2 linked regions of the Lonchura striata genome follow. The protein of the gene in region 1 interacts with the protein of each later gene in a pairwise test. Links are inferred from orthologs where the notes say so. Each region holds a gene or a part of one and is shown in the gene's direction. Other genes may lie near its edges.

Evidence for each region.
Region 2: the proteins of YES1 (region 1) and FUNDC1 interact in binary tests that used the Homo sapiens proteins (3 or more experiments, as listed by UniProt). The two-hybrid records come from large-scale screens. The link is inferred for Lonchura striata from reciprocal best matches to the Homo sapiens genes YES1 and FUNDC1.

The regions. Positions count from the first base shown.
Region 1 is NC_134603.1:48,348,139-48,357,775, reverse strand, and holds the start of YES1 (tyrosine-protein kinase Yes), read left to right. Parts: upstream 1-5,657; 5' UTR 5,658-5,772; intron 5,773-9,637. UniProt on the Homo sapiens protein: Non-receptor protein tyrosine kinase that is involved in the regulation of cell growth and survival, apoptosis, cell-cell adhesion, cytoskeleton remodeling, and differentiation.
Region 2 is NC_134604.1:110,766,058-110,776,456, reverse strand, and holds the start of FUNDC1 (FUN14 domain-containing protein 1), read left to right. Parts: upstream 1-5,722; 5' UTR 5,723-5,853; coding exon 5,854-5,917; intron 5,918-6,270; coding exon 6,271-6,427; intron 6,428-8,257; coding exon 8,258-8,333; intron 8,334-10,399. UniProt on the Homo sapiens protein: Integral mitochondrial outer-membrane protein that mediates the formation of mitochondria-associated endoplasmic reticulum membranes (MAMs).

The DNA.
Region 1 (9,637 bases):
CACCTGAAGGAATGGTGATGAGACAAAGTCATGAGGAAAACAGTAGAAATAGAGGGCATGTGGAGAAAACAAGGCCACATAGCTGACAGATGCCCAGTTTTCTCAGATCTCTAAATGGTGCACAGCAGTTATGTCCACCTCTAATGGTGAACAGCCCCATCCTGATCCAAGCTCCATTCTAAGGATTTGTTTGACATCACAGACTGAGGGGATGATTTTGCTCCTGGAACTATTCCCAAAGTAATAAATTTAATCACATTCATAGCTAAATAAAGGAGGAAGGCTTTCTCATCCTCAAGGTTGTGACTAACAATTATCCTCAAAACAATAGGGCAGGAAAAACAATGTGTCACAGAAAATTCAAAAGATCTGTTAAGCATCAAAGTATAAAAAAGGCCACTCACACAGCCTGAGGAATTTGTTCATCTTTAAGCAAGATGGTAGCTGAGAGGAAAAGACCATACAGAGTTCTAAAAAAGGTTTAACTTCTAAATAGGATAGTAAGATAGGATAGGAGAGTAAGATTTCTTTTTTTTTAAGTCTATTTCACTTTGCTTTGTTGTATGAAGTCATATATAAAAGCACCACAACAGCATGTGTGTTCAACAGTAAAAATTCAGGATGCCCTGGAAAAGAGGAAATTTTGATGCAGAATCCCCTTCCAGTGCTCCCTAAATGCCATTCTAACTTGGATTCTGCAGCTACTAACATTATTAAGCATTACTTGCAGAATAATGTCTTAGGTAATCACTTAAAGAAAAATAAAATACATATAACCAGTATGTACATGTGCAAGTCTCCCAAAGCCAGCAGAAATTGCTTCTTTGTACTGCCTATCAAATGAGGTCAGAAGTCTCTTAAAGGCTATGAATTACTCTGGCAGTGATGTCAGAACCAACCCCAGTTCAGGTCAGCTTTAGTGCACAAACTTATTTTCCTCCTACTCTTTGTCCTTTTCCACTCTCCCTAAGAGTATATAACCTGCTTTGTGAGGAGGAAGGCATACATTCCAAATCTCTCAGAATTATCTGCACAGTTGCACAGGTAAATATATTATTTTTTTCTGAACATGTATGATTTCACAGGTTTCAGATTCTTCAACTATGAAATTTAAATGAAAAAATAAAAAAAGACTGTGTGCAATCTTCCCAATTAAATCATGCAAGAACCAAAGACACAGGATGTGAAGTTGCTGCCCAAGCAGGGTTGAGTGTTAAGTGTTCATCATATATAGCACTGCCCTTGAAACAAAAGCAGTAGTTATTTTAAGTAACCATAAGCAATACTCATGTGCAATTCAAAGGAGATCCGATATAAAGAGATAAAGATTAGAGTACAGCAATACGGCTTTCATTATACAATGTAATCCAGTGTGTCTGATGTAACTGGATGTGACACAAATGTAAATAGCAACAGGTTTGGGAAGACAGGGTTTTTGAACTCTAACATGCTTTTAAGCATAACTTCTAGTAAGTTCAAAAAACAATATTTGAAGCAATGTTTTTCAAAAAGAACCCTCCACATACTTGCTAGAAGTATAATATACATATATAATTAGACATGCTATGCAAGATCAAACAGAAGTGATATTTGAGAAAGAACGGAATATTTAATCTTGCAAATAGATGTGAGCATCAAACACAAAGATCTGGCCATTTGGAGATGCAGATACATTTTAAGGCAAAATGGGACAAGTTTAACATGAGGCTAAAATAGGATACTTGCTTCAGAATAGGAAATAATTACAGATCAACCAGACAGTGACTTAGCACTCCGTTTCCTTACTGAACTACTATACTGGGATGCAATTTGCATTATATCCAAGGAAGATGTTTCAGTTTTAAACATCAATGATTTTATTAATAGCTTCTGGAATATTAAATAGAAATTAACATCACAAAAACTATGCACTTATTCGACTAATGCTTAGAATATTCAGATTCAAAAGAAATGTATTTGGGATTAAAAAGAAATATCTATGTTTTGCTAAACACCATGTTCTTAAAATAATGATCCAAGAGCTTCAAAGTAAGCAAGTGACTAATACTACTTCCAAGATGAACTGCTTTTTTGTAGTATGATCACACAGTACAATGAACAATGGGAACTTTGCACATGAATTTTGGGAGGTACTGCTATAAAATACCATTGTTTTCCACACTTTCCAAGAGCAAATAGCTTGGATGAGGCCTTGACTACCTCAGTTATTCCTCAAAAAGAGGGAATTAATTTAGGTCCAGAATTTTTTTGATTCCTTTCAAAAGAAAAAATTATTTGTCCATAAACCACTGTAATGTTTTTTTAATTTACCTCTGAATTGTTAGAAATCAATCCCACAAAGTGTTTTCAAGAATGTGTTGATATTTTCAGGTTACTACCACATGTACCATAGATTAACTTTTGGCATGTACTGGCAAAACTCTTCAGAGAATCAATCTGTCCATCTCCTTCAATATATCAGGATGCAAGTCCTGTATGCCCCAATTACAAACCACTGAACCCACATCAGTGTTTGAAATATTTTAGTCTGCCTGTCTCCATCTCTATTCCTCTGTTCCTCCTTCTTTCTGCTCCTACACCTGTATTTCTCCATGTCACCCGAAATATACTTTATTTAGCATAATATGTCCTTGACTCTATCATACATTTTTGGGGATTTTTTCAAATTACTCAAACACATTAAGGATTGTGTAAGTATAAATTACCATTTTAGAAAGTTCAAATATATGAGAATTTCCAAAGATAGTACATAGAGAATGCCTTCCTAAACATCAGCTATTTGCATAAATCTTCAAGATTAAGTTAACCCCAGCCAACCATGCAACAAACAAAAGAGTTAGTGAATGCTGAGCCTGTCTGATGGGCTATTTGATTTGGCAAACTGTGTTCAGCAAATGGCAGCAATGAACCCCTGCATCAGTAGCTTCTTACACTATACTCCAGTCATGCTAAAGCATTTGAGGGCAGCTCCTCCCTCCTCCTTCTCCCACAAGGTCAAAAAAATTAATTTAAAACAAAAGAATGAAAGAGAGGGGAAATTCCTAGAAGTAGGCACTGGCCTTGCCTGACTTGTGGTAGTTTTGGCTGATCCACTCAGTCTTCTGAGTGAATACCAAGCAGTATCAATCCACCTGCACTGCAACATATTTGAGAGCCCACTCAGGAACAGCCACGGAAAGGGAGCTTTAGCCAGGTATCATGTGGCAGACTGCCTGACTGGCAGGCAAAAGGTGGCAATGACACTCCAAGTCCCATCCTGTGCAGGATTAATCAGGCTGAACTACAACAGTTTGATCATTTTAAGTCACTTGTTGAACACTTCGTTATAAAAGGAATACTCTAAGGAACACTCAGACTATCAGTGACAAGTGCATGACAATTTAAGAAGCAAACAGTTTTTCCACTGCAATGAAACCATGTCTAGCCTCCAAGACTCCCGACTCAAACCCTCATCTATTCTTTCACACCCATATGGTGTGAGTCTGAGCTTGCTCTCAACTATGGGACTGGTCAGCTCGTCTTCTCCCCAACTGCTCTGCTATTTTAATCACGCTGTGCTTAAAATTAAGCGTGACAGTCTCTCCACTACCGACCGAGTCAATCACTGGTGCAGCCCCAGTACTCTCTGTGGCAGCTAATAGTACACATACACATAAGACAGTGAACTGAGGACACAGTTCATAACTCAGCCTTTCAAAACCTCACCAAATAATTTCTTACATTGATCTTCACGACAGAAAGCAACAGGAGCGGTGTGATGAACTGAGAATCCCAACAAACCTTTCGGTACCACACGGGCATTGCCAGGTGCCGTGAGAAAGGACTACTGTATAATCCCATCCATCAACACCGAACCTGAAACCCAGACGTCAAATTACAGCGACAGCTGGCAAGAGCCAGTGTGTCTCTAACGATGAAGCTCTAGCCCAATGCTGCAAAATTGCTTAAGTGGGTAATTTTAAAACATCATGAAGATGATAACACAACTAAGTCTCATGTTTTTCAGATATGCAAGTTTTACCATTGTGCTGTAAAATTAACCAATCAGCAACACTTGCCTGTGTATACAAAACCCCACAAATGATACTGGAGTTCAAACTTTGCTTTCACTCAAGACTACCATAAGCCCAGTTGGAGTTTTGAAGTCATAACCGACTTAGAGCTTCAACCAATCTGCAAACTGTTAAGTAATTCATTGCCAAGGTCAATTTTTAAAACTTAAAATTGCTGTTTAAATTAAAAATCAATTCTATATAATGTGAGTTAGATTTCAGACTGAACAGAATATGATGAATTCCAAGACCCTAAGAGGGTCACATGAGAACAATTTATGTTATTGAGTCTCCAAATCTAGAACACTTTTGGTTTTTTTGTACTCTGTTAACAGTTTAAATGTATCTATGGTCCTCTAAAAGCAAATACATGTATTTTCTTTATCTGAAATTAAAAAGCACAAATGGCTTTACTCTGCAGCATTGCCTGCAAAATAAACTGGACATCCTGACTCAATTCTTTTTCTTAAGAACAAACTATATTAGGTTATCATTAGTGATCAACACAACTACTGTTTTCTGATCAGCCTTTAAAGAAAATAAAGCGGGGAGAGATATAAATTTAACTACTAAAGAGCTGGAAACAATAAAAGATAATGCTGAATGAGAAATGACAATTTGCCCACATAAACTTTGGCTTTTTAGGTTCATTTTTTAAATGTTCTTTCACTCTTTCCTGCAGTCTGCAGTTCTGAAGGCTAGATGCATTTGAACCACCTTTCTCCAGGAAGCCCACCTTGACACAAATCCAAGTTTTTATTTCTTAAAATACGAAACACTGACTTAAGGAACGGCGATGAGTGGGAAGGAAACCCGTAACGTGGAATTCCCCGGAGTTACTGATGCGTAATTTACAGGCTCGTTCTTTGCTCGGTGTTCTGCGACCGGTCTGTTCCGCGGCGCCGCCCTGGGCATTCCCGAGCTGCCGGCCGGCCGCTGCAGCACCCGCACTGCCGGAGAGCCGCCTTGCTTCTGCTTCACCCACAGGAAACTAAACGTACCGAGCCTAAGCCGTGGCCCACCTGAAGATGCCTAGGCGAGGAGTTTTAAAAGTTATTTTGTTTGCTTTTCCCGCACCACGCCGAAGGGCTCCGCTGCCGGAATCTCTCGCGTTCAGCTTCTCTGGCAAGAGAGGCTCACCAGCCCGGCCCGGCACGGCACAGCACGGCGGGAGGATCTACCCCCACCGGGGTCCCCGCGACCCACGGCCGGGAGTAGGCGGCCGCCCTCGGGCGAGCCGGGGGGCAGGGCAAGCCCCGGCTCCCTCCCGCCGCCCCCGCGCCGCGCCGCACGTCTCCACCATGTTGTCTCGGTGCGCGGCGGCGCGGAGGAGGGACCGCCGCCGCCAGCCCGGCTCCGCGGGGGCCGCCCGGCTCCTCCCCGCGGCCTCCGGTTCGGCCGCGGAGGCGCTGCCCCGGCCGGGAGGCGCGGCGATTCCGACCCGGAGCGCATGGAGGGAAACGCGGTGCGGGGGAGGGGCCGCGGTGCCCACCGGAGATCCCGGCCATAGGGGCGGGGAGTCTCCTCCTCCTCCTCCCGCAGCGAGGCTCCAGCTCCCCGCACGCACCGGAGCGCTCGGCGCCCTCCTCCTCGTCCCTCCTCCCTTCCCCTCCTCCCCGCTTCCCTCCCCGGGTCGCCGCGGCTCCGGGAGGAGCGGGGGGGCCCCCGCTTCCTTCCCTCCCCCCCTCCTTCTCCCACCCGCCACGCCGAGGAGAGGCAGGTGAGGCCCCGGCCGCGTCCCCGCTCCGCCGCCCCACGGGAGCGGCGGCCGCGATGGCGGCGGCGATGGAGGCGCTAGGCCCCGGCCGCCGCCCCCGGCCTCGCCCCGCCGCCGCGCCCCGGGGCCGGGGGGCGTCCCGCACCCCGGGCCCTTCTCTGCAGAAACTTTCTCGGCAACTTTCTGCCGGGCCCGAGCCCCTGCCCGCGGGGCCGAGGGGTCGGGCGGGCGGGAGCCGCGCTGGGCTGGGCGGGCTGCGGGAGCAAGTTTAGCGGGGGAGGGCCGTGACCCCTCCTTGGCCGGGCCCCCTCCCGGCCCCTGCCCCGGGCGCTGCTCGTCCCCCGGCGGAGGCGGCGCGCACCGCCCGGGCTGGTGCTCGGCGTGAGCCGCTCCCGGCTCCGCTCCCGGCGCGGGGCCGGAGGATGTAAAAGGGCAAAACTCAGGAGTCGCCCGTAGCTTGGCCTGCGTGGTTTTATATTCTATTAATTTTTCTTCCCCCCGCTCCACTGTTCTGGTTTATATCCTATTATCGAGCCTGGAACATGACCGCCGTACATTTCTGAGTCATTAATTTAAATGTTCAATCATCACACTTCATCAGGGCTTCTTGTCTTCCTTACAGTTTTAAGGAAAAAAATGTGTTGGGCACACACAGGCCCCTGTTCCTGCGGAGTCTGCACATAACTTTCTGCTCTCTGTGGACCCGCAGGCTTTATGTGCTTAAAGTTGTGTGCTCAGACCAAGGGCTAGTGTGACTTCTCCAATTTTCATTTTTACAAATATGTGAAGTTTATGATACAGTTATTTATTTTATTAATATATGGGCTTCTGTGTGTCTTGTATGCATGTGGGTATGGTCCACTTGGCACTGGGGAAACTAGGACAGAAATATTTCCGAAGCTCGTATAATAAAGGTGTATTCAGATGTACCTGCTGGATTTAACCCTAGGCAGAGGCCAGTCATTAATTAAAAATTAGATCTTTGGATTTACCTAAAGTGGCAGAATGTTCCAAAACCAGTCTTGAAGCTTGGAGTGTGTTGACAAAGAAAGTGTATTGGTTTTCACTTAATTTAATTCATAGATAACTGAGTGATATTTCAGGCAAGTTTTGCAAATGAAATTGATCTTAAGTCAGAAAGCAGATACAAAAGTTTACTTCAGAGTCTTTTTCTTTCCTTTTTGGAAAGTAAGTGTTGAAGATGGATAGAATTGCCTTGTCAGTTACCTTTGCAGTACCTCTGTTTGTAGGTATAGCCCAGCCATAACCATGTTTTTGTTGGCTTCGCAGAAGTAAGAATGTTTCCTTTCCAAACAATAAAACCTTGCACTTCCACTCTTATTTCTGTTGTGTATCTGTAAATTCAGTTGTAGGAGGTTCCTAGTGAGCGTAAGCATAGAGTGGAGACTTGGTGTGTGTTCTGCACAGCCAGGGTGTTGTGGTTAATTTTGGGACAAGGTAGCATCTGTGATGGCAACAGGGACAGCAGCATGGGCACTGTGCTCCTGCTGAATTTCGAAGAAAAAGATCCTGTGTACCAGGTGTGGCAGTAGTTAGTAGCAGCAATTGCCAGTAATTAATTATTCCATGTGCTTTGTTAGCTTGATTCCTTTAACAGGTGCAGCTCAAATAAAGCTATAATTTCTCTGTGCCTTCAGTCCCTCTAATAACTCTTTTGGCTTTTAGAAGTGTTCAAATAAATTTGGCAGCAGAGGTCTCCCAGGTGGGCTGTTGCTACAAAATTTCTGGAAGTAAGGAAGCTGGGTAGAACGGTGCTTTTAACCTGCACACCAGAGAGTTCATGGCAACGCTTACCTCAAGCTGGAAATTGCTGCAGGAAATGGGGCCTCCCTGTTTTTGCTGCTTGCAGAGCTACTGGTTCAGTTTTCAATAGTTATTTAATAACTGAACCCTGGTACCATTCTATCTGGAATGAAACTGGTGAACCCAAGGTAGCTTTAATCTGTATTTTGTATTACAGTGAGAGATTTTCAAAGAAATACTTGTTACTCAACAACCGTTCTTTGGGTACAAAACAAATGAGTGGAATTGAAAGTATACTTAAATTGCTGCATTATTTCGAAATAGCAGGGAAAATAATACATTTTTGGTGTGCTGCATACTGTGTAGCAGAATTACTGAAAAACTTCACATTATAGGGGTTTTTATCAATATTCATGCAACAGAGCAGAGAACTAGTCTTCTGCACCAAAGAAATGCTCTTTATTTTGAGCTTTGTGCACTTCTGCAGCCCCTGAAGAGCGAAATTGTCGCTCTGTTCAGTCTGATAAATCATGGCCATCATGTGACAGCGATGCAAAAGCCTGCAGTGTAGCACACGTCAGATTATGTGGTCAAAGTTTACTTTTTGAACAACCTGGCTGCATGGTTTTACTTTTCCATATGCACTACCTGCGGACAAAAGCTGTACATTTTCAATAGATAATTCCTTGTGTTCAAAAAATTAGTTACAAGAAAAATGTTCTTTCATTCATATCCCCTAGTTGCATCCAGCTGTTTTGCCACATAGTTTGATCACAGTTTGAGCGAGGTACCTTGATGTTAATTTAAAAATTGGTGTCAGTACTAACACAAAAATGACTTTAGGAACACGTCCTTATTCTGCTGTGTTGCATCAAGCAGCCATTTTCAGGTAGGACACGTTCTGTGCATATGTACACAGCCTGTGGTTTCTGTGAGGTCCTCCTGAAAGGTTTCAGGCTTCTAGTACTGAAAGTCCTGTGCCTGTTAATGGAATAGATTGATCCGTGAGGAAGAACTGCAGTTTCTCTAACTACCGCAACAGAATGGGTTAGTTTTTGTCTTGGAGGAGCCACCTCCAAGTATGAGTAGGTAACTCAGTCTCAGGATTTATTTAATTTCTGTTCACCTTGAGAGTGCCAGTCGGAGGCTGTTATATACTGATGGATTTTATGATGTGATAATATTTTTTATAATTTTTTAAAATACTGCTTTACGATTGCCATATGGGAACTTCCTTCAATCACTAGTCCCTGGCTGCATTCACACCAATTATTAGAGCTGTAGGGTTCCAGATTGTATCACCAATTGCCAGATTTTGAAGGTAAACCTAGACAACTTCCCATGTGTATGCTTAGTTTAGTAGGGAAAATGTAATATTGAAAAGATGCGGTCAACTAATTGTAGGACAGGTTTAATTTTAGATTATAAGAGATTGTTCTTACTGCCTTTTGCAGTTACGGGGATTTATCCTTGATGGTGCTGGTGCATCAAAAGAGAAACTGGCACCAAAGTAATTGCCAGTTATTGAAATGAAGGGGCTGCACCCTTAGGTAACATTAACATGCATGGCTGATTGCAGGATCAGAGATCAAGATGATAGTAACTTTAATGCCAGAAATTGAGTAAGTCAACACTATTACTTATGTATGAATTTTGTTCCTTTTAAACACATATTCTTTGAACATGTAAAGGGTAGCTGGAAAAAGGATAGGAAATGTTCTCTGTTGTCATTTTGGATAGGCACTGCATAGAGCACTGTGTTTCATGCTGTGTCCTGTAAGTCAGTGGACCAAAGCCATGCACAGCTGAAATCAAGCCTTCGAGCTGGACTTCTGGCTAGCCCTGGCTGGTATCCGAGCCTCACAGCTCAGTGGGCTACTGTTGTAGAGATCATCACAGACAGCTTTTAAGGCTCTGACTGTTGTGGCCAAGGCTGGGGTTTTGTTTTGATTTTTCTTGTCTGCAGTATTAGGTAATGTTATAGAGCACAGTTGGAGAATGCTGAGGAAGTCAAACCTTGGACTGGAATAATTTGTATTTTAGCTTCTCTTGAACACTTTGAGTGTTGTTGAGTAGGCAATTGGATAACTTTTTTTGCTAACCG
Region 2 (10,399 bases), on another chromosome or scaffold:
TCATTAAAAAAAAGTCACTTTGCATATGAGAAGAGTTTTAAACAAGAATATAACAACAGAGAGACACCTATACCAGATTGAAGACAACCTTCCAGGGCCTTGCAAGACTTTCTCAGATTCAGTTCCCCTCGCTGTCCTTTATTTGCCTGGGCAATAACACGAAGCCTCAAATTTAGCTGAACACTTCAGTTTTTATTAAACATTTTGACTGTGCAAGAGGAACCTTCCTGAGTCATCTCCTGCATTCTGCTCCTTCCCGCTGCCTCCAGGGAAGATCCTAAAGGAATGATGAGCTCAGCTCTGCCCCAGGAGTGCTCTGCCACAAGCTCAGCTCCCTTCTGGCCGTGATCCCAGCGTTTTTCCACAGGCAAGGAGCACCGACCATCCCAATGCATACATGGGATTCACACAATAGCAGGAGGTCACGGTCAGAGCTCTGTGCTGCAGCCCAAGCCTGGTAACTCATCAGAGCTGAGATCAAAAGATTAATGGATAATCAGCTTGCCTTATTATCAATACAGTAAACAAAATGAACAGGAAAGATCAATCCCCCCCTTAACTTCTTATTTTTATTTCCTTACTTTTCCAGACGAGGGTCATGGGAATGTGTCCTGCTGCAGCCTGACCTGACACTAACCATCAGTTTTGTTTAATAAGTGCTGTGGTACACCTTACCTGGGTGATGTCTTTGGTTGTTACCTGTTTAAACACCTTCCACAGCACACTAAACTTGGTTTTTCTTTTTGTATCAGTTGAATTCTTCAGCAAGAGACTATTTAAACTCGTGTTAGTTAATGGAGACAATAGACATATCTTTCTTTGGACATTTCTCCTCCACTTATACATGGATTGTGGTGGGAATTTATAACTTAAATTTCATTAGGATAAATGAATTAAGATTTATGGTTGGACTCAATAGTGTTAAAGCTCTTTTCTGACCAAAATTTTTCTGTGATTCTAAGATAAAGGAGGCTGTTATCAAATTAGAGTACTACAAAACTGAAAAGCAGAATTTAATTATGTTCACAAACAAGAAAAAAATTTTCATAATTAAATTTTGTTGAACCTCGCAACAAACATTTTACAAAGAAAAGTGACAAAGGAAGGTTGAAGGCAAGCAATACAAGCAAGCCATCCAAAATTTCACATGGAGATGGCAGGAGACACAAGGATGTGTATTTGTTAATGTCATAATTACAGGGAATATTATCTTCATTTTAACATCATAGAATCATGGAATATCCTGAATTGGAAGGGACCCACAAGGATCATCAAAATCCAGCTCCTGGCCCATCCACAAGAATCCAACCATGTGCCTGAGAGCATTGTTCAAATGCTGCTTGAGCTCTGTCAGGCTTGGAGCTGTGACCACAGCCCTGGGGAACCTATTCCAGTACCCAACAACCCTCTGGGGGAAAAATCTCTTCCTGACATCCAAACTAAAGCTCCCCTGATGCAGCTTCATGACATTCCCACAATTCCTGTCCCTGGTCACCATGGAGAAGAGATCAGTGCCTGCCCCTGCACTGCTCTTTGTCAGGAAGCCATGGAGCTTCCTACTGCATTAACAGTCCAGGTTATTGCTCCACAACAGCCCTTGCCCAGGATCTTGATGGACTTAGAACCCAAATCCCTTCCCAGACATTTCTCTGCCATTTTCCAGCCAACAGAGCTTTGAATAACAGCATGTTCACATAGGGTTGTTAAAAAGGAATCATCCATTCACTCCAATACCTTTATTGCCAGGTTATTCTGACTGCATTTACTAGATTAAGCCTGTGGAGAACATAAGTTTCACTCACAAGCAAGGCCTAGTGGAGAGGGCTGGCAGTGTGTGTTGCCTTTAGTTTCTATAATTAATCATGCAAGGTGGTAAAAAATTAAAGGATGTATGTTCCAGTTTGGAATTCTGGTCAGCAGCACAAAGCTGCTAGGATTAGAGTCGCACAGGCATTTGATGATTGGGGGTCTCTCTTCTGCTTTTTGGGGTTTTGGGGCATTTGGGGGTTTTTGGTTGCTTAGTGTGGAGTTTTTTATTATTTGTAAGGTACGTGTGTGCCATGTATGTTCCATTGCAAGCTGTGACCCTGAACATGCTTGTCACAGCTATAAGGTACAGAGGGTGGCTGCACAGCCTGAACTTGTAGGTAGCATTTACAGAGCAAAGAGAGCAGTTTTTCTGCGCAGTCCTTCTGATGATACAGGAAAACACTTTGTTCCTGAAGAACCTTTAAGGGTGAAGCCAAAATGTGGCCTGAGTTTAAATTGTCTACCTTTCCTTGGAAAATCTGTCAGAATCTGCCATTAATAGCTTGAAGGAAGCATCAGGGTGCAAGAGATTTGAATGGGCTTGGGGAATTTTATACATCACAGTGGGGCTGGTAAAAGCTCTGCCAGTTATTCTTGGTCTCTGGAGCCACGAGGTTTGCTGTCTCTGCACAGGGTACGGATTTTGCTGGGAGCAAGAACAATCCTGACATCATTTTCTGTGCAAGCATTGAGCCAATCCCCCAGGCAGTGCCTGCAGATCCCAGGCAGATACTGGGAGCACCACTGCATCCTACTGTGGTGTCCATCCAACTGGAACCCACTGGGAAACGCCTTGGGGTGCATCCTGATCCCAGAACAGAGACAACACAACCCGAAACCTGCCAAAGGGCTTTCCCTGGGTCTTTCCTAAACTCCTTCCCTGCCACTCACACCACCCTGACTTGGCAAGAGGGGTGCAAAAGGAAGCAAACAGAATTCGCAGGTAGTACATGATGCAGCTACTAATGTTAATCTTTTAAAAGTGCTAATTATACAAACCTCCCTGTTCTGAAAGGAAATTAATATAATTGTTTGCACAGAAGTGCTGCTATTTTTTAACTGATAGTAGTTAAAAATAGGGAAGCCAAATATTAAGAATTCAAGCTACAAAAGGTACAAAAATAGCCAGGCTCACACAACGTGAGCAAAACTCTCTGGTCACCTCTCTTACCTTACTGGCATCTGACTGGGAAATGTCAACAAGCACTTTTTTACTGACTGGGAAGGGAATACCAAACCCACCAATTTTATGCTTAAACAAGAAAACTCCCAAGATGCACAGTGTTTGTCAAAACAAATCATAAGAGACAAATCTGTTTGTTCCTTATAGGAATGTATCTGTTGAAAACCTTAGAGAAAGCAATATATTACCAGTTCTGTCTGGCATGCTGTCACCTAATTATCACAATGGCAAATGTTTGTAATAAAAATAATTTAATAAGCAAACAACCACTTTATACACTAATTTCAAGTTTTATATGCTAATTTCAGTTTCAGAGCAGACTACAGAAGGACTTTCTCGTGGAAGATACATTCTTCCCTCTTCTGGTATGTCTGTAAAGGCTGGTGTAATTAAGGGGTTTAATTAAAATCCTAAATGCTTACTCCATAAAAATAGCTTTATGACATACAGAAAAGTGGATTTTATTCATTATAATTACCTGCTTTGTGTATTGACAGTGTAAGAGTCCAAGTGAGAAGCTGTAAACACTTTTAAATAATTTGTTTTCAATTTTATTATTTATAAATTAAGTTCCTTGATGTTTTCTTCATTCATATTGCAATAAAGCTCCTAAAGGTGCACTTACTGTGTCAGCCACCTCCGTGGCGGCTGCATACATTTAAAAAAACAGTCCTAAAATACAATTATGTGGCTTTTAGCCCATTGAAACCCCACCAACGCATTGAAGGAGCAAGCACACCAGGGCTCAAATTTAGTTTTTTCCAATGTTTCACAGCTCACATTGGCTTTAACCTTTGTACTTTGAGGGGCCTTGTGTTTGGTTTTTTCTGGTTATTAATTTTTATGGGGCTCGTGGCACGCAGCTGCTGTCCAGCCATGCCTGCAGCCACTGGGAGATATTGAGAAGGTTTTGGGGTTCTTACCCCCACCACTGGCATCAATGAGCCCCTCAAGGCACAGGCTTGAATATCGTGTGCTGTTTTGAGGACCACAATACAAGAAACACAGTGAACTGTTGGAGAGAGCCCAAAAGAGGGCAACGAAGATGGTGGAAGGCCTTGAGGGGAAGCGTGTGAGGAGCAGCTGAGGGCGCTTGGTCTGTCCAGCCTGGAGGAGACTGAGGGGAGACCTCAGTGCAGTCACAAATTCCTTGTGAGGGGAGAGGAGGGGCAGGCACTGATCATCACTCTGTGATGACGGTGACACATCCCGAGGGAATGCCCTGAAGCTGTGTCAGGGCAGGTTTAGGTTGGATATTAGGAAAAGATTCTTCCTCCAGCGGGTTCGCTGGGCAGTGGAACAGGCTCCCCAGGGCAGTGGTCACAGCACCAGCCCGGCAGAGCTCAAGAAGCGTCGGGATAACTGAGGCACACGGCAGGATTCTTGCGGTGCCTTGCGCAGGGCAGCCAGCTGGATTCGCTGATCCCCGCGGGTCCTCTCCAGCTCGGGATACGCCACTATTCCCACCGCGCAGCCCGCGCCCCTTCCCGCAGCCTCCCCCTCAGGGACTCCCCGGGGTGAGGGGAGCGGGAGGCGCATGCGCGGCGCGGCCGCGAGGGGGCGGCACCGCGGCGGGGCGGGGCGCGAGCGGCCGCTGGGGGCGCAGCGGGGCGGCCGCTCGCCGCCTCAGCACCGGCCAACATGGCGGCGCGGCGGCCCCGCTCCGCCTCAGGTCAGTGCTGGCCCCTTCCTGACGGGAGCGCGGAGGAGGCGGCGCGGCGGGCGCCCTTCCTCCTCTCGGGGGCGGCGGGCAGCCCCCTCCCGCTGCGTCCCGGGGGCGGGGAGGGATGGCCCGGGCTCTGCGCCTCCCTTGTCCGTTGCGTGTCCCCCCCTCCACCGCGCGGCCCGGCGCATCGGCCCCGGCGCTCCTGGCATCACCCGGGCTAAAGCTCGTTCCCGGGATTTAACCAGCCAAACCCCTTCTAGGCAGGCCCGCGGGCAGAATGAGGGCCGGCCGAGCCCTCACGGAGCCGGAGGTGCCGGGGGGATGCGGGACCGGAGGCTCCAGCCCCCATGGCCGCCGCATCCTTCCCCGCGCGGGGCTCTCCGGGCATCGCTGTGGCCTCGTCCTGCGGCGCCTTTCGGCACTGGCACGTTCCGTGTGCTTGGGCAGTGTGCGGAACATCATTTGTCGCATGCAGGAGGATTTTTCATCGGTAGAAAACGCTCTGGCAGTTATTTGCCACAGAGCGTGTTATGGATGTGTACACTAGTTCTGGTTTAAATAATAATAATTTAAGGGCGGAATTATTGTGACTGTTCATGACAGTGTTTTAATATTCTCCATCCAAAGAAGTTAAACAAGTTGTCCTCAGTACTGCAAAGAAAGAACATTCAATATCAATTTTTTAGCATTATAGGTCTCACTATTTATTACTTAGTACTCAAGGACATATGGTAATAAAGAGAAATAATGCCCACCTATATATGTACTTCTTGCAGTCTTTGAAGCTTTTACCCATACTGGTAGTACAAGTTAAAAAACTGTCAAAATTTTAATAAAATGTTTATATTTACAGTCTTGCTTTAATTCTAGGTAAAAATTTAACTTCTTCTGGAATGTCCTACCCATAGTGCTGAATTTAGATTTAACCTTAAATATATTTAATCAAAGTGGACTTCAGTTCATGTGTGTATGTCACAGACTGTGATACACTTTTAAAATATTTTTCTTTAAAAATCTAGACCCATCTCTTTCCTCTGATGCTTGAGTATACACAGTGTTGAGGATCTCTTAATTTGAAATTGTAGGATGCCTGTTTTGAAAACATTGACAGAATTGTCCTGAAAACATGGAACCTAACTGAAGTCCCTGTGTCATCTGTTTCACTGGAAAAGGAACAGAAGTCGCTTCCTGGCAAATGCTGATGCCTGGTCCTCTGAGGAGAGCACTGGGCCAGAAGTTCTTAATCTTTCCAAATGTTGGTCTGTCCCTTTGGTTTTTGTTGGGTTTTTTTGTTTGTGGTGAATGAGATGACTGGTAGTTTTATCGGATGTCTCTTGAACAGGCAGGGGATTCTTGTTCACCTTTGCAGTGCCAGGCGTGGATTTTATTGATTATACCACTGCTGTAGCCTTCTACACCTTACCTTGGTGATGGCATAGAATCCCCAAATCCTTTGTTCTGGGAGCTGCTGGACCATAACTTGTACATTACAGTTGAAACCATTGGATTACCCGGTTAATGCCCAAACTGAGTCTGGGACTTTCACATAACTTGTTAATTTACTCTATAACTGAGAAGATAACATGTTTAAAAATTGCTTTTTCTATTTCAGACCACGACAGTGACGACGATTCCTACGAAGTGCTGGATTTAACAGAATATGCTCGACGTCACCATTGGTGGAACCGCTTGTTTGGCCGGAATTCAGGACCAATTGTAGAAAAATACTCTGTAGCCACACAGATTGTGATGGGAGGTGTGACTGGCTGGTGAGGGAGCTTCCCTTTCCATAACTGGCCTAGACATTTTACTTTGTTAGGAGATCCATTTCCAAGGGTATTTGAAAGCAGATAAATACATGTTTAATGGGATTTCCTTTAGCATTGATCAAGATTGTTCATGTGTGAACAATTTTAGCTTGTTACTCTGACTCATTATGAAGTGTTTTTTAATAGTGGTGAAACATGAGTTATCCAAGGGAACTCATACTAGTTACTGTGGAAAAGATTTGGGAAAATGTCAGAGCTCTAAAATGACAAGAAATAAATGGAAAATTACTACATGTAGCTTTTACTCTGTATGGAAGAGCATACTTCCTTATCTAGATTTAGAAACTTAGTTATATTATGGCTGAGACATATTTACAGGTAAAAGAAATGAAGGAAGGAAAAAAGGATGGCAAAATGTACTTTTAATTAAGAGCCTCATTTCCTGGAGACTTTTTTTCTTCTAAATTGAGCTGCAGCCATGTTGAGCAAATTCACAGTTTACTGTGATGTTAACTGATACATAGCCTAGTTATACTAGAATAATTCATGGTGAAAGCTAGACAGTCAGGATGAGAACTTAAACTGGAAAATGTGGTCACAGCCTGAGCAGCTGTGTCAAGGTATTTGTTATTTGTCAGAGGTATTTGAATGGTATTTGTCTACTCCAGTACACAGAAAAACTGTAAATTCATTGAAAAACACCATTATAGTAGCAAAGTGACTTTTAAAGAGGGATTATGCAAGGATTAGAAGATGAAATAAACTAAAAATGAAATTATTGTACCCAGCTCAGTACAGCTTTGTGGTGTGGGTTTAGCTTTCAGTCAGAATTTTTTATTTGCTTCTGTAGCCTTAGAGTTATTTTAAAAAGTTATATGTGTACGTGTAAACTCAGATGTTTCTAGGGAATAGTTCATCTGGCATCCATAAAAACTGGCTTATTGAATGATCTGGAAAATGCACATTTCAGTATCTGTAGATGCACATCTCTCTGGCTGCCTACTGATGTATATAAATGACAATTCACTATTTATATGCAGCGGGAAAAAATTCCCCTCTGCATGTGAGCCAGTGTTTAGACACACTGGAATTGCCCAGGGAAGTTGTGGAACCATCAGCCTTGGAAACTCATGTCTGAGTCAGGGCTCTTGGCAGCCCGATCCAGCTTTGAGATTGGATTGGGCTCTGCAGCAGTTTTGGGAAGGTGACTGGCCCAGGTGACCTCCAGAGGCCCCTTCCTGCCTTGTCATTGTTCTGTGATATCCATATCTGTTCTCCATTTGATGAGGGAGGTTTGGAGCCTGAGAACAAGGTAATTTTCTGGTTGCCTTGATCCATTAAAAATAGACTTAACACCATGTCCCAGCAGAGTGCCCTCACTGAGTTTAACTCTTGTGATAGGAATGTGCTGCTTTTTACTGAGATATTTCAGTTATGAGTTGTGTAGTTAATATAAATTACAGTATAATATATTTACATTCCACTTGGGAACAGTTATAGTAGCACTGTTATGTAATTATGCTGTGCTTTATTAACATGCTACATTTAATAGCAGTAAGATCTTGGGATCTCAAGGTTACTTTAAAGGGGCCATGAGACAGCCAGGAACAGGCAACCATTACTCACATTGTATTGTTTTAAACATTGTTAATTTAATATTGCTTGAATTAAATAGCCTTGATTTTTAAATTTGTAAATATGAAGTGATACATTTGCTTTTTATATGAAATAATGGTAATAGTTGTAGTCAGGAATTGTGTAGTGTGGCATTGTTTAGCAGAAAACTTCATTAGACTGGGTTTTTTTTTTGTTTTGTTTTGTTCCCCTAAGGTGTGCGGGATTTTTGTTCCAGAAAGTCGGAAAGCTTGCAGCAACTGCAGTAGGTGGTGGCTTTCTTCTGCTTCAAGTATGTAGCATTTCATGCTTTATAAGTTGGCAAATGTTATTTACTAAACAATAGGAAAAGCACAGCTGTTGGGTAACATTTAATTAGGAAGGCATCTTACCTACTTCATCTTTTTAGTCTTATCAGTCAAAACCTTACATTTGAGCTGGAATATTGTGTACAAATGTACAAAGGAGACATTTCTAAAATCAGTGGTAAATCAGAATCTACTCTGTCCTGTAAAATAGTTTGTTGTAAGACAAGAGAACTTCCGTGCAGAAGCTGAGGTACTGTGTGTGATTTGACACTGCCAGATGAGAGGAACTGCCTGTAAACCTATGGTTAGGGAGAATTTAAAATGTGTTTGTTTTACTTTGGTTTGATAGTTTTATCATAGCTGTTTTGGCAGTTGCCTGGAAGGCTTGTTCTGGTCCCAGTATGAGCTGTGTTTTTCTGTTTTCTCCCTTTGCCATATTTTATCTATTGAATCTCTTAAAGCCTGGCTGAATTTTGACAGCTTCATTGTATTCCTCTCTGCTGGCTTTCGGGTTCAGAAGTTTTTAATTATGTTATCTGGCATGATCATTTGCATTTTTCATCATTGTGATTAGGGGAGGATATATTTGCAAAAAAACCTTTGAATTAGACGAAACTTTAAGTGAAGGAGAATTGCATGTGTCCTTCTGTAAAATGCCAGGATTTTACTGGCATTTTTCATGTCTTAATACCTGTGAACTTCTCATTTTTCCACAGATTTTTCTAGGGGATATAGATTGGTGCCTACTTAGGCTCAATGATACACAATTTCTTCAGAGGGGAGGTTAAAGACACATTTATTCTTTCCAGCATCACCCTGGAGGGTTTCTGAAAGGCATATCCTGCTTTTATTTCTTTTGATTGTAGTGGCTGGTGCAGCCAAGCGCTGATCAGGAAGGGTGGGGTGGTAACTGCTGCTGTGTAATACATTGCAGTGTTGCTGTTGTGTGAAGTACACATATTTTCTTGATAGTCATGGTCCCCCAGTGGTTTGGGAGCTGCTTTGGTTTTTTCCTCTCCCCATGTTTTGTATGCCATTGATCTTAATTATTTTAATGATAAGTATTTTATCAATATGACTGAATAGCTGCCACACAGAGGCACCCAGGGTGGAGGCAGCAGATTGCTGCAGGTGCCTTCCTCAGTACTCCTGACTACAGGAAGCTGAAAAGTTAAAGCTGAGACCTGTAGACAGAGGAGAATGGAAATTGAATAAAACCCATCACTTGTGCAGCATTTTTGCTTGTTGAGCTGTGAAGTTTGGGGAGATTTCCTGTACATGCAATAGATTTGCCATGTGGTTGAGTGTCTGATTTCTTGGTTGATCTCATTTACACTGAATCCAAAAAGAAATGTTATCCAAGAGGAAATATGAGTTAAGTATTTTGATTGGATTGTCTATATCTTAAGTAAGATCAGATTCTCCTGAAAGGAAATGAAGTAAATGCCTTAGTCTCTCTTTTAATTCAAAACACTTTGCATTTTAAGGCTGAGTCATAAATTCTATGGTGTAATTACATTTCTGTAGTCTTTAATTTTTTCATTTAAAGATCACACATCTTGATTCTATGAATACGTGTTCAGTGCTTCCCCTGAGTGGGCAGAAGAGTATTTCAGCACATTACTAGAAAGTTCCTTTTTATCTGTAAATTTCTCTGAAGTTGCAGATTTCATTTCAACTGCTGATTGCAATATTGACATTATAATTACATGCTAGAACAAGAATAATAACTACAGAAGGCATGATTCTTGCTAAAGCCCATTCAGTGAAATATTTCAGTCTTAAAATTTAAAAAATACAGTTTTTTCTTCAGTGGGTGATGACTTCATCTCAAGAAATGTCTAAGGAAACTGAAAGCAATACATTCTTAAGTGTCAGTTTGTACAGGAAGCAAAAAATATTTTTCATGTTTTTGTAAGTGATCTAGAACTTCAGTCTTAATACAGATTATCTGAAAAGTAGTTGGAGAAAAATAATAAAAAAATACATAAAATTTGCACAGTTTTTCAAAATTGTGATTTGTTATCACATCTTTGTGGTGAATATTTCC